2 linked regions of the Drosophila melanogaster genome follow. The protein of the gene in region 2 purifies or fractionates together with the protein of the main gene of each other region. This does not show direct contact. Each region holds a gene or a part of one and is shown on either strand. Other genes may lie near its edges.

Region 1 (4,478 bases), on a different chromosome or scaffold from region 2:
TGAGCACAGTGCGGGTACACTGCTGCAGGTGAATCCCAAGCAGATTCAGGAACCCCGGGAATCGGGGGGTACACACAGGCCCAAGCCCAATCAGGGTTCCAGGCAGAAGCAGATGTATCCACCGACTCCTCCAAATGTAACCCGACTTAGCGATGAATCCGTAATGTTGCGCTGGATGGTGCCCCGAAACGATGGGTTACCAATTGTCATTTTTAAGGTTCAGTACCGCATGGTTGGCAAGCGCAAGAACTGGCAGACAACCAACGATAATATACCGTATGGAAAACCGAAGTGGAACTCCGAGCTGGGCAAGAGCTTCACGGCTTCGGTGACGGACCTGAAGCCTCAGCACACCTATCGTTTCCGCATCCTAGCCGTTTACTCCAACAATGACAATAAGGAAAGTAATACCTCGGCGAAATTTTACCTGCAGCCAGGTGCAGCACTTGATCCGATGCCGGTGCCAGAGCTTCTGGAGATCGAGGAATACTCTGAAACCGCTGTGGTGCTGCACTGGAGTCTAGCCAGCGATGCGGATGAACACCTGATCACTGGCTACTACGCCTACTATCGACCCTCGTCCTCGGCAGGGGAATATTTCAAGGCAACCATTGAAGGAGCCCATGCTAGAAGCTTTAAAATAGCACCCCTCGAGACGGCCACCATGTACGAGTTCAAGTTGCAGTCCTTCAGTGCCGCCTCTGCATCCGAATTTAGTGCCCTTAAGCAGGGGCGCACCCAACGTCCCAAAACCAGCACCACAGAGGAGCCAACACTGCAAATGGGCGACCGCGATACAACAACTCCCAGTCATAACGAGACATTCAATATGAGTCCCATGCTGACGGGAACAATCGGCGGCGGGGCAGTGCTCATTCTGCTTCTGATTAGCACCTGTTTCTGTGTTTGCCGGCGTAGGAATTCCAGAAGCCGGGGAAACAATCCAAACAAGCCACGGATGGCGGAGCTGAGAGATGACTTTGTGCCGCTGGGCAACTGCTCGCCCACCAAGCAGCGCCAGCGAACACGACACATCCACATAACCTTGAATCCACTCGCCCAGCAGCAGCAGCAGGCGCTGGAGGAGAAGAATGACACAGACCAGGATGCGCCCTATTATCAGCGGCCGTCGAGCTATGACTACGATCCCACGCTGCGCAGGATGTCCTCCTCCTCGCTGCGTCGCTCACAACGCACGCTGGAACGTGCTGGCGGCAGCAATGGCTCCAACAACGGCAACAACAACAATCTAAATCAATCCGCAGAGGCGGGTTCCATCGAAAATCCCGGCAAGCCGGGTCGTGTACTCATGAAACGCCCCCGTCTGTCCAGTCGCTCCGAGAACCTCTCCTCCGGCAGCCTCAACAGCGTTGGCGTGTAATCGCAATCTCGTGATCTTTAGTCTGTGCATCCCTACGCCCGATGTACCATGCTATTCCTCTACCTCTGTTTTATCTACCACTTTGAATGACAAAACCTTTGCTGTTTGTACTTAAATAGGTACTTAAATAGACATAACTAGATTTATGTATGCATGATCGTTTAAGAACATAGCATTATGTCCATTCTACGCTAAGTCTTCCATTTTTCGCGATAAGATCAAAATCTGTACTGATAGCTTCTTAATGACCTATACAAAAATGACAATAAAGCTTGTAGCTTCACCTTTTAACCTTAAAAGAGTTTTTTAACATAAACATAAAGGATTTAGCCAAAAAAATGACATCTCAAGCTAAAAGTTAAAAAACAAAATTATAATTTAAATCTTTGGTATATTTGCGGTATATCAAGTGTTGAAACAGTATTTTTTCGCATTCAATGAGTGGCGTTAGGGATTTGTGCAACATCCGATGGCGTTTGGGATTTAATAAGCTGTCAGCCAATAATTGGGTCGTCGTCAAAATTTCTATTAAAATCGTTTCTATTCCTACATATTTTGGCCGGAAAATCAAATGAAGCTGTTACGCTAGGGACGAAGCTGCACCTTACCCGCACCGAACGTAAGACACTGCTCGTAGGCCCCAGAAAGTGCACAAATTTAAGCGGTTCCCTTTGTTTTCGCAGTGCCAGCAGCAGAGGGCCTGGCCCCCGAAAACAATACAAATCCAAAAATCGCAACTGGACTGAATTGGGCAGGATGTCGAACCTATCCGTGGGCCAGATTATAATGGATGCGCAGCGCATGGCCAGTCGGGTGAAGGACCTGGACGCCCTGGGCACGGCGCTGCTCGAGGAGGCGGAGAACAACAATCGGCTGGTGGAGAGCCTTCGCCAGTATCAGGACGACATTGAATCACTCAACCGCATTTCGAACAACAAGACCAACGCGGACATGGTGAATCGCATTCAGCAGCAAAACATCAACAGCTCGGAGATACTCAAAGAGAATCGCGAGCTAAAGATCTTCATTGAGGACTACGAGCGTGCCATGGAGCTGATGATGCAAAAGTATCGCGAGCACACCGTCTCCAAGGTCCTGGATAGCAAGTTTAGCTTTAAGGAGCTGTACAACGAACGCATGTGGCAGGTGATCCGGGAGCAGCGCGAGAAGATCAACGAAATGGCAGCAGTGATGCAGCTAGCTGCAAGTGTAGATGACGGTGTCGTGCAGCGAGAGCTGCAGACCATATCCCAGCTGCGTCTGGAGAACGAAACGCTGCGCGAGCTGCTGCAAATCTCCAAGCAGTACGGCTCCTCGCAGCGACCGATTCGTGAGAGCGACCACCTGCTGGAGGAGAAGGCTGTGCAAACGGACAGTACGGCGGACGACTCCGCCGACGATCTGTCCATATCGGGCGCCTCGGTGGAAAACATGAACAACAACTCGGTTATCCAGATGTACAGCAGTCCGGAGCAACCGGCTAAAGTCGCCGGCACCACGAACTCATTTAACACTGCACCAGTGCATAGTCAAAGTGAAACACAAGCACCAAGTGTGACATTGGAGACGGCGCCGCCGGGGGAAGAGCCGCTGGCGAATGATAACAATAACGGACCTGCAGTCAACACAACCAGTGCACCGCCGCCAGCGACGACGTCTAACGAATCTGTCGAGGATCAGGCGACAGTAGCGCCCGCAACATGATAGGTGCTGCTGTGCAACGTTGTTGATTCGTTTGGTCTTCATTTGAATCGTATTTACTCACCCACTCACAAAACAGGCCGCGCACGAAGAGGGCCCACATAACCTGCATTAGCTCTTAGCGATTGATAATCTCTAAGTAATTTATACATAATACGAATTTCAACATATTGTCCATACGCATTGAGAACAATGAAGTTTATTATTTAAAACGAGGTAAACACACTCACACCCACACAAATGTAATGTACAATGTACCCTGTCGATTTTATGGTTTGCTAAATAAATTCCAATACAAATCGGGGAATAACCAAAGGAATGAGCATATTTAATTTAACATACAAATGTATTTCAGTAGTGTATTTAAATAAGATGTAACTTTGCTTTAGATTGCTACTCCGTAAGCTAACTAATTCTTAAGTTATTTCCCAAAAGATGTTACGAGTAGAATCCCATCTATTATGCGCCCCTCCCATGAATTTGAATATTTTTGTTAGAAGGCTTTTTAAATTTGGCCATTCTAAATCCCAGCCAAACAGAGAAGCGGTTAAATAATTCATTGGATATGACTCATTGCTTATCGAGTAAGGCTGATCAGAACTTGATATACACACATACTTGTGTGGAGTTTAAATATGAATAAAGTATAGCCACTAAAATTAACATTTGCCACAATGGTTATCAATGGTTATCGAGCAGAAGATTTATGATATAGTCATGTTAATTTTCAAAAAGTCAACTTATTACACAATGAACCAAGTTGAACAGAATCTGCCATGAGAAAAAAAAACAGCAGTAATAACTATAATTTTAGAAGCTTAAGATTCCAAAGGCAAAATATTGGGGTTTAAAAAATTTTAAATAATTTCATTATTGTATTGTTTAAGTTTAATTTGGTTATTAATCAATATGGAAAATTAGGAAAACCAATTTTTTGAATAGATATTATTGAAGTAATTATTATTATTATTAGTTACAGTGTTTTTTTTCTTTAATTCTATCAAATACATTTTTGTAATTTTGATAAATATGGAACCTGAAGTGTAAAAGTAATATTATATGGATACCCGTAAAGATTTATGGCTGAAACTTTCAATTGGCTTGGACTTGAATATTTTTGAATAATTTTCGAATCGCTCTCATCGATTCTCTGCGCCAAAATATCGGTTCTCTTGAGGAAAACACTTTTCTCGCACGACTGGTAGGTAGTTGAAGCTTTCAGAAATAATTTAAATTTAGTTTCTCGTCGATTTTCAACGCGTTCGCAGCCGAAAAAAAAGTGCCAAGGAACTGCGCCCGGTTCGCATGGCAGCCATCTATATAAGTATTTCGAGTGCTCGGGCAATCGACGGTTATATTAAAGCTATATAAATATATAGGCACATACGTGCTTGGC
Region 2 (6,343 bases):
TATTTTCTTGGACGTACTCGTTCCAGAGGCTAGCTACATGGTAATTTCGAATGGAGGTCTGTCTATTTCAGCAGTCAATTCATTCTGAGAGTGGCTTTGAAAAGTCGTATTCCGTGATAATATTGCTATCATACACAGTTTTCATTTTAAACTAATGGCTTTCGAAAGCTTCATATATCTTCAAATATGTGTTCGTCATTCAAACGATTGAGCCAAATGCACAATGAGTTGAAGTTTTTGATAAAAAATAAATCGTTTAATTCTACTTAAAACTGGAAACTAGTTTAAGCTAGTTTAAAAAAATGCATAACATTGATACATTTTACTATGGTTGCGATAATATCTGCCTAGTTCTGAAGCAATAGAAATGTCCTACTTTACAGATCCTTAGATTTCTTATTTTTTATATGCATGGCAGAAAAGTTCACATATGATTCACATAATTTATTGTAGTGTACTTCGGTTTCGAAACACCAAGGTCAAGTTGGCACTTCCACAAATGATAAAAGAACCGAAGTGCAGGAGAATCCAAGATAGTCTTGATTTCCTGTTTTCTTTCAAGTGAAGCTGCTGCAGGTGCGAAAAAGTGGGGAAGATGTGATGGGGCTGCTGGGCAAACAAGTTATCGCCGCGTTTGTGCACCGTTTTACGAGGGAAAGCTTTTGTCTTTGGACACGATTAGTGGAGAAGCGGCAATTTGGGTGAAATCTTATCAATCAGCGGCGGGCATTGAAGCGTTCGCGGACGGAGACGAGAGCATCGGCAATTTAATTGCGGAAATAAAGGGGCAGGCAGGCACATTCCACACTGCTGACGGGACAAAGTTTGTTCGATGGATGATTAAGCCGCGTTTTCAGGTGGAGCAGGTGGGGCGGTGTTGGGCTGTATCTGGTTTTGGATAGTAACCAGTCACGCTACATGGAGCAATTCGAATCTCACGCCAAATGCGGCTCAGGATGGGCACACAGTGGGGGCGGGGCTGCAGCTTATATGCACCTGAATCTGGGAGAATCCTTCAGGCACTCCTCGAACTCGATGGTGGCGCGCATTTTGGCCACCACGCAAGCAGCACCTAGACTGCACTGCTGGCTATTTCGCTACGCTAATTGAGGCCCGTGAATCTTTGTTGGCCTGTTGCTGCTGCTCTGCTTTGCTTTGCTTTCCTTGCTGAAGTGGGGATTTCGATGCGCGATTTTCGAGGGCGGCTCTGGGAGAAGCTAATTGCGGGCAGCAGGAGATATGGTGATTAGTCGCATCCTTGGCAATCGACGGCTACACACGTTGAGCACTGGCCCTAATTAGCGAAACTCGCCAATTTACGCGATTCGGGGCCGAATTTACCAAATTTACACAGCGCGCAGAGACAACAAATTAAAACGTCTCACTTTCTACTAGAGCAGATCGGTGTGCCCGCACTCGCAGCGAAAACAAATCTAGCAGCGCGAATGGTCACACACTTTGGCGGGCTTATTTGCTTTTGCTCATATCTTTTAAAATTTTAAATGTATTGAATGCTTAGTGTTTTCCTTGTGCTGATTTTCGTTTTAAAACTCGATTAGTTACGAAGATTTCAATTCAAAGGCATAAAACAACGCACATTGACATTGTCAGCACGGTTTATCAGTGTTGGAAACTTTTGTAGCTAAGAAGAAGCTAATTAGGAACTTAAATTCCCTAAAAGAAGATACAGCCCAAAAAAGATTTGGGTTCTAGCCATAATCAATGTAGATGTATTTAAAGTACAAACGATGACAATTTTAAACACCAAAACAAGCAAATCCGTTTCAAGCTACCGCCAGCCAAGTCAAATCTAGCTACAAAACAGATCAGCTGACAGCACCGCTGGATTTTAGGGTGCCCGCCTTGTGCGACAAGAATCCGCGGCCAGTGCTGCACAAGTGCCATTTTTCATTTCATTGTTCTGTTCTCTTTCTGCTGGTGCTGTTTTGGTTTAAGTGCAATTATCCACACAAGTACGCACCGAAAACCGATGCACCTGCACCGTGCACCAAGTGTGGGAGTGCCCAGTGCCAGTTTCATTTATAAAACTATGAGTTTCGCACGGCAACCAGCGCAGCTGACCGACTGACCGATCAGAGTCTCACGTCCCCCCTCGCCTCATGTGTTTACCCCTTGTCCAGCGTTCTATTTGCGTTTCGTGTCCGCTTTAAATCGCCTCATTTGCATACAACTCGACGGCTTTACGTCACAACTCTTTAAAATCGGCGAAGTAGAGGAGGAGGAGTGAAACACGCCCATTCCCGGAGGAAGCATTAGACCGACCTGTTTGGAATCCAGAATGTGGAAGTGCCACAAGTGCGGCAAACCCGTTTACTTCGGTAATGCACCCACACACGAGCGCATTGCGATCCGTAAATAACTTGTAAATTATATTTATTTATGCCCCGCACAGCGGAACGTAAACAATCGATCGGCTACGATTGGCATCCGGAATGTTTGCGCTGCGAGGAATGCGGCAAACGCTTAAATCCCGGCCAGCATGCTGAGGTAGGAGGATCACCTGTTAGTTAGCCGATCATGTGATCTATATAAAGCCTTTTGTTTTCCTTTCAGCACAAAAGTGTGCCCTACTGCCATGTGCCCTGCTATGGCGCCCTGTTTGGACCCCAGTTGTTTGGCCACGGCACCCGGGTGGAATCGCACAAAAGCTATGGGGTGAAGGGAGCCCAGAAGCCAACCGGAGCTCAGGCCAATGGCCCGCCACTCCCACGTGATCACCTGGAGTCCAAACTTAAGGTGCAGAACGCAATACCCAGACATATCAATATCTCATGACTCACCAAATTCCCTTTTAATGGGCAGGTCTACAACCAATTCTACGACAACAAAAGCCTGGAGATACGTAGTCGTGAGGTCAACAACCGGTTGGTGCTGGAAGGCGCGCTTAGAGTTTACTGGGGCGTGCAGGGAGTGATTCATCTCAAGGAGGACGATGATCAGCGCATCTTAGTGCGCAAAAGGAACTCTTGCCGTGTGTCCAAGGCTGCCAATGTAAGCTGAATCTATAACATAACAAAACGTTATTTATACAATTGTACCCACAGGAAAGCAGTTCGGATAAGGAAAACGAAGCTAGCGAATCGCTGGCTCCGCCCACCACCACCACAGCCGAGGTCGATCAACTATCCACGGATGTTTCCCTTTCCGAGAGCATGACCTTCGACTCCTGTAGCCTGAACGAGATCTCCGAGTTGCCCACAACCCCAGAAGATGCCTCGGCCAACACCACAGCCAACAGCAAAGAGCAGACCAATGGTAATGTGTGCAACGACGACGAGGATACGACCACGACGGACTCATCTGGAACCCTGGTGGAGGCTCCTACTGCCAGCACAAGTTGTGTGTCCAGCACATTGCCTTCGAAGTTGGACCGTCTGGAAAAACTGGATTGGGACGACATAGACGATCTGCTGCAGGTAGAGAGACGTCACAACGACAAGGATCGCATTTATGAAACTATGCCTGTCAAACTGCCGTCGTCGCAATCCTCCAGCGACAGTTCGCCCAGCAAAACATCCACAGAGACCACTACGACCACTGAATCAAGCTCGACTCAATCGGCATCAACAAACACCAGCAGCACGGATGATTTTATGACCGCCACGGGATCGTTGACTGCCAACACCAATACGCAGAATACAACAACGGTGTCTACTACTGAGACCTCTCTGGATAACTTCGAGACTTGCGATGACGCTACCCTGAAGCCTATTGATTTCGAGGACTTTAAGCGTAGTGTCCACCAGGACTATGTAAATGGGGCCAACTCCTTTACGGAGCCCAATGAGGGCACCCTTAAGCGTAATCAACCAATTGATCCCTCTCGCATTCACGACTCCCTTAAGCTCTACGGCGAGAATTCAGCGATGAGCAAAAGCTTTAATTGTGAGCATGCATTGCGGTCAATAGATCCCACTTTAATCAACGACACCATGAATCTGCGCAGTAGTGTGGGCTCTCCTCACTCCGCACAGCGTCAGTACGCCTTACAAAAGAGTGGATCGGCCACAGTAACCAGCAGGGATCAAAAGAAGCCATATCAACAGGGGCGGCAGTTGTTCGAAAAGGGCATCAACCGCTCCAAATCGGGACCCAGCTGTTTTGTGTACTCCGACAGCGATGACGACGACGAGGCCACGCTGCGTCCCCAACGTATGGCCACCATTCGACGCAGCGACATACCTCAGCGGTACATACAAATCCAGATGGACTGTTATCCCAAAGAGAATGTGGCTGCTGCTAGCGAAGGTGAGTCAAGTCGGGCAGATGCTCCATCCATAACCAGTGGTGCAGCGGCCGGCGATGAGCTTACGCAAACCGAGGATTTGTACACTGCAAGCGAGGGCGTTGATGGTCCAGACGGAGATGGATCGGCTGGGTTGCATGTGACGGAAGATGGAGTTGTGCTGAGAAGACCTCCACGCACAGGAGCTTCTGCCATCAAGCGACGAAGTGGCAATCGTCGGTAAGTTACTGAAACTTTTAATGAAGAAATTGTGTTGTAATTCCAACTTCTTAATCAATAGTTCTCGTACCAAGCTGAAACGTCGGTGCTCTATCAATGGTCACTACTACAATCGGGAGACGTCGTTTTTCACGCCGCCCTACGGTTCTCAAATGTCAGTGTGGGTCTCCTCGATGGTGACCACCACTGAGGTTATCAACTTGGTGCTGGAGAAATACAAGGTGGACAGTTCGCCTGGCAATTTTTCACTCTTCATTGTTCGCGACAATGGTGAACAGAAACGTCTCAAGGACGACGAATATCCTTTGATAACGCGCGTCACTTTGGGACCTCATGAGGATGTGGCTCGTATATTTTTAGTGGATTCTCGCAAAACTGATGAAATCAGGCAAGTTATAACACTCCTTTTCAATAGAAGTTTGCTTACGTTTCTTTTGCATCGCTGCAGTAATGAAGTTGCTCAATTTTTGAATTTATCTTTGCCCGAGTGCCGTGCTATTCTGGAGCGCTACGACCAGGAACTGGCCCGCGAAGTGGCCAAAATAAAGGAAAGGTGGGTTTTAAAAAATAATTTTACATCCCAAGACTTTGCATTGAAAGAGAATTACTTTTCCGCAGATACGCCGAATTGCGACGTCGTATTGTCAGTCGCATGGAATCTCTGAAAGTGCATTTGTAAAACGTAAATGAAACCTCTGGCATAAGAGCAATTTTTTATTAGCCATAACATGAATGCGGCCAAAAAAGAAGTGTCGGCAGCAGCACAGCTAATAGTATTCACGTTTTTATACGAGATATATATTTTTATGTAGAATCTAGAGAAAATTACGAACTAGCAAACATTAGGCGCCCAGTGAACAAAAAGCAGCTGCTGCTCGTCGCAAAATACATATACATACATTACGTTTAGGGTTCGATTCTTCCCAGCCGAAACTAACAATCAATTCCAGGCATTTCCATTCGTTTAGAAAGCGTTTAAGACTTGTAACTAACCAAAAAATAATTATTAATCCACAACATTACCATACAGTTTTTTGTTTTATGTTAATAATCAATGTATGTGCTTTATGCAGTCACGTTAAAAGCGTTGTCATTCATGTATCTATTGTACAATGTTTAGCTTTTAAGCCGTGACATGAAGCACAGGTCCTGCTAGTAGCGTGTAGTTGAAAGCCATTTTATCGAGTCATTGAACAAATGTGTGAAAATCAATTTGATTAGAAATCGCAATGCCTGCGAAACAATAAGAATAACTGTGCACATACTTCATATTGCATAACATGGACTTGTTGATTGAAAATCATTTGGAAATCCAATAAAATGAAAATTTTACAACAGAATCGCCGCCTCTTTCGGTGACCAGCCAAGCGGAGTTTAAGGCCCCATGGTCGCCAACAAATTCCGGCAAGTAACGCGTCCCTAGTGCAAAGGGGCGAACCTAAAGGCGGCAGCAGTAGCAGAAAGTGTGAGCCGAATATTCAAAAAAGGCAGCAACCGGCGCCAGCCGTCCGTGCCCAAATGGGGATCAAGTGGAGGTGGACCTCTAGCCCCCCCCCCACACACACACACACACATACACACACTAGGGTGGGGGCAAACCGATGCCCTGTCCTGGCCAAAGCAGCCATCAAAGCACAAGTCAATGATGCCATTATAATAGAGAAACGACGGAGGAGCAGCGCGGAAATAGCGACGAGGACGAAAGTAGGCAAGCACTGGCTCACTCACATAATAAATGCACACCCCACAGCGGCACAGAGTGAGTGTGTGTGCGTGGCTATTAATTTGAAACTGACAGAGCCTACGGGTCTCCATTCCGGCTACAACGTGGTTGGGACTCCGCAACAACTACAGGAC

The links. The genes of interacting proteins can lie anywhere in the genome.
Region 1: the proteins of Rassf (region 2) and Fgop2 purify together in Drosophila melanogaster (affinity purification with western blotting; one study listed by BioGRID). This does not show direct contact.

The regions. Positions count from the first base shown.
Region 1 is NT_033779.5:6,942,656-6,947,133, reverse strand, and holds Fgop2 (fibroblast growth factor receptor 1 oncogene partner 2), read left to right. Parts: upstream 1-1,844; 5' UTR 1,845-2,000; intron 2,001-2,064; 5' UTR 2,065-2,137; coding exon 2,138-3,085; 3' UTR 3,086-3,956; downstream 3,957-4,478. Other genes in the region: ihog (interference hedgehog), read left to right, coding at 1-1,381.
Region 2 is NT_033777.3:23,113,495-23,119,837, reverse strand, and holds Rassf (Ras association family member), read left to right. Parts: upstream 1-1,906; 5' UTR 1,907-2,299; coding exon 2,300-2,339; intron 2,340-2,413; coding exon 2,414-2,508; intron 2,509-2,574; coding exon 2,575-2,757; intron 2,758-2,823; coding exon 2,824-3,012; intron 3,013-3,065; coding exon 3,066-4,486; intron 4,487-4,547; coding exon 4,548-4,874; intron 4,875-4,934; coding exon 4,935-5,039; intron 5,040-5,104; coding exon 5,105-5,165; 3' UTR 5,166-5,824; downstream 5,825-6,343. Other genes in the region: CenB1A (centaurin beta 1A), read right to left, coding at 997-1,049.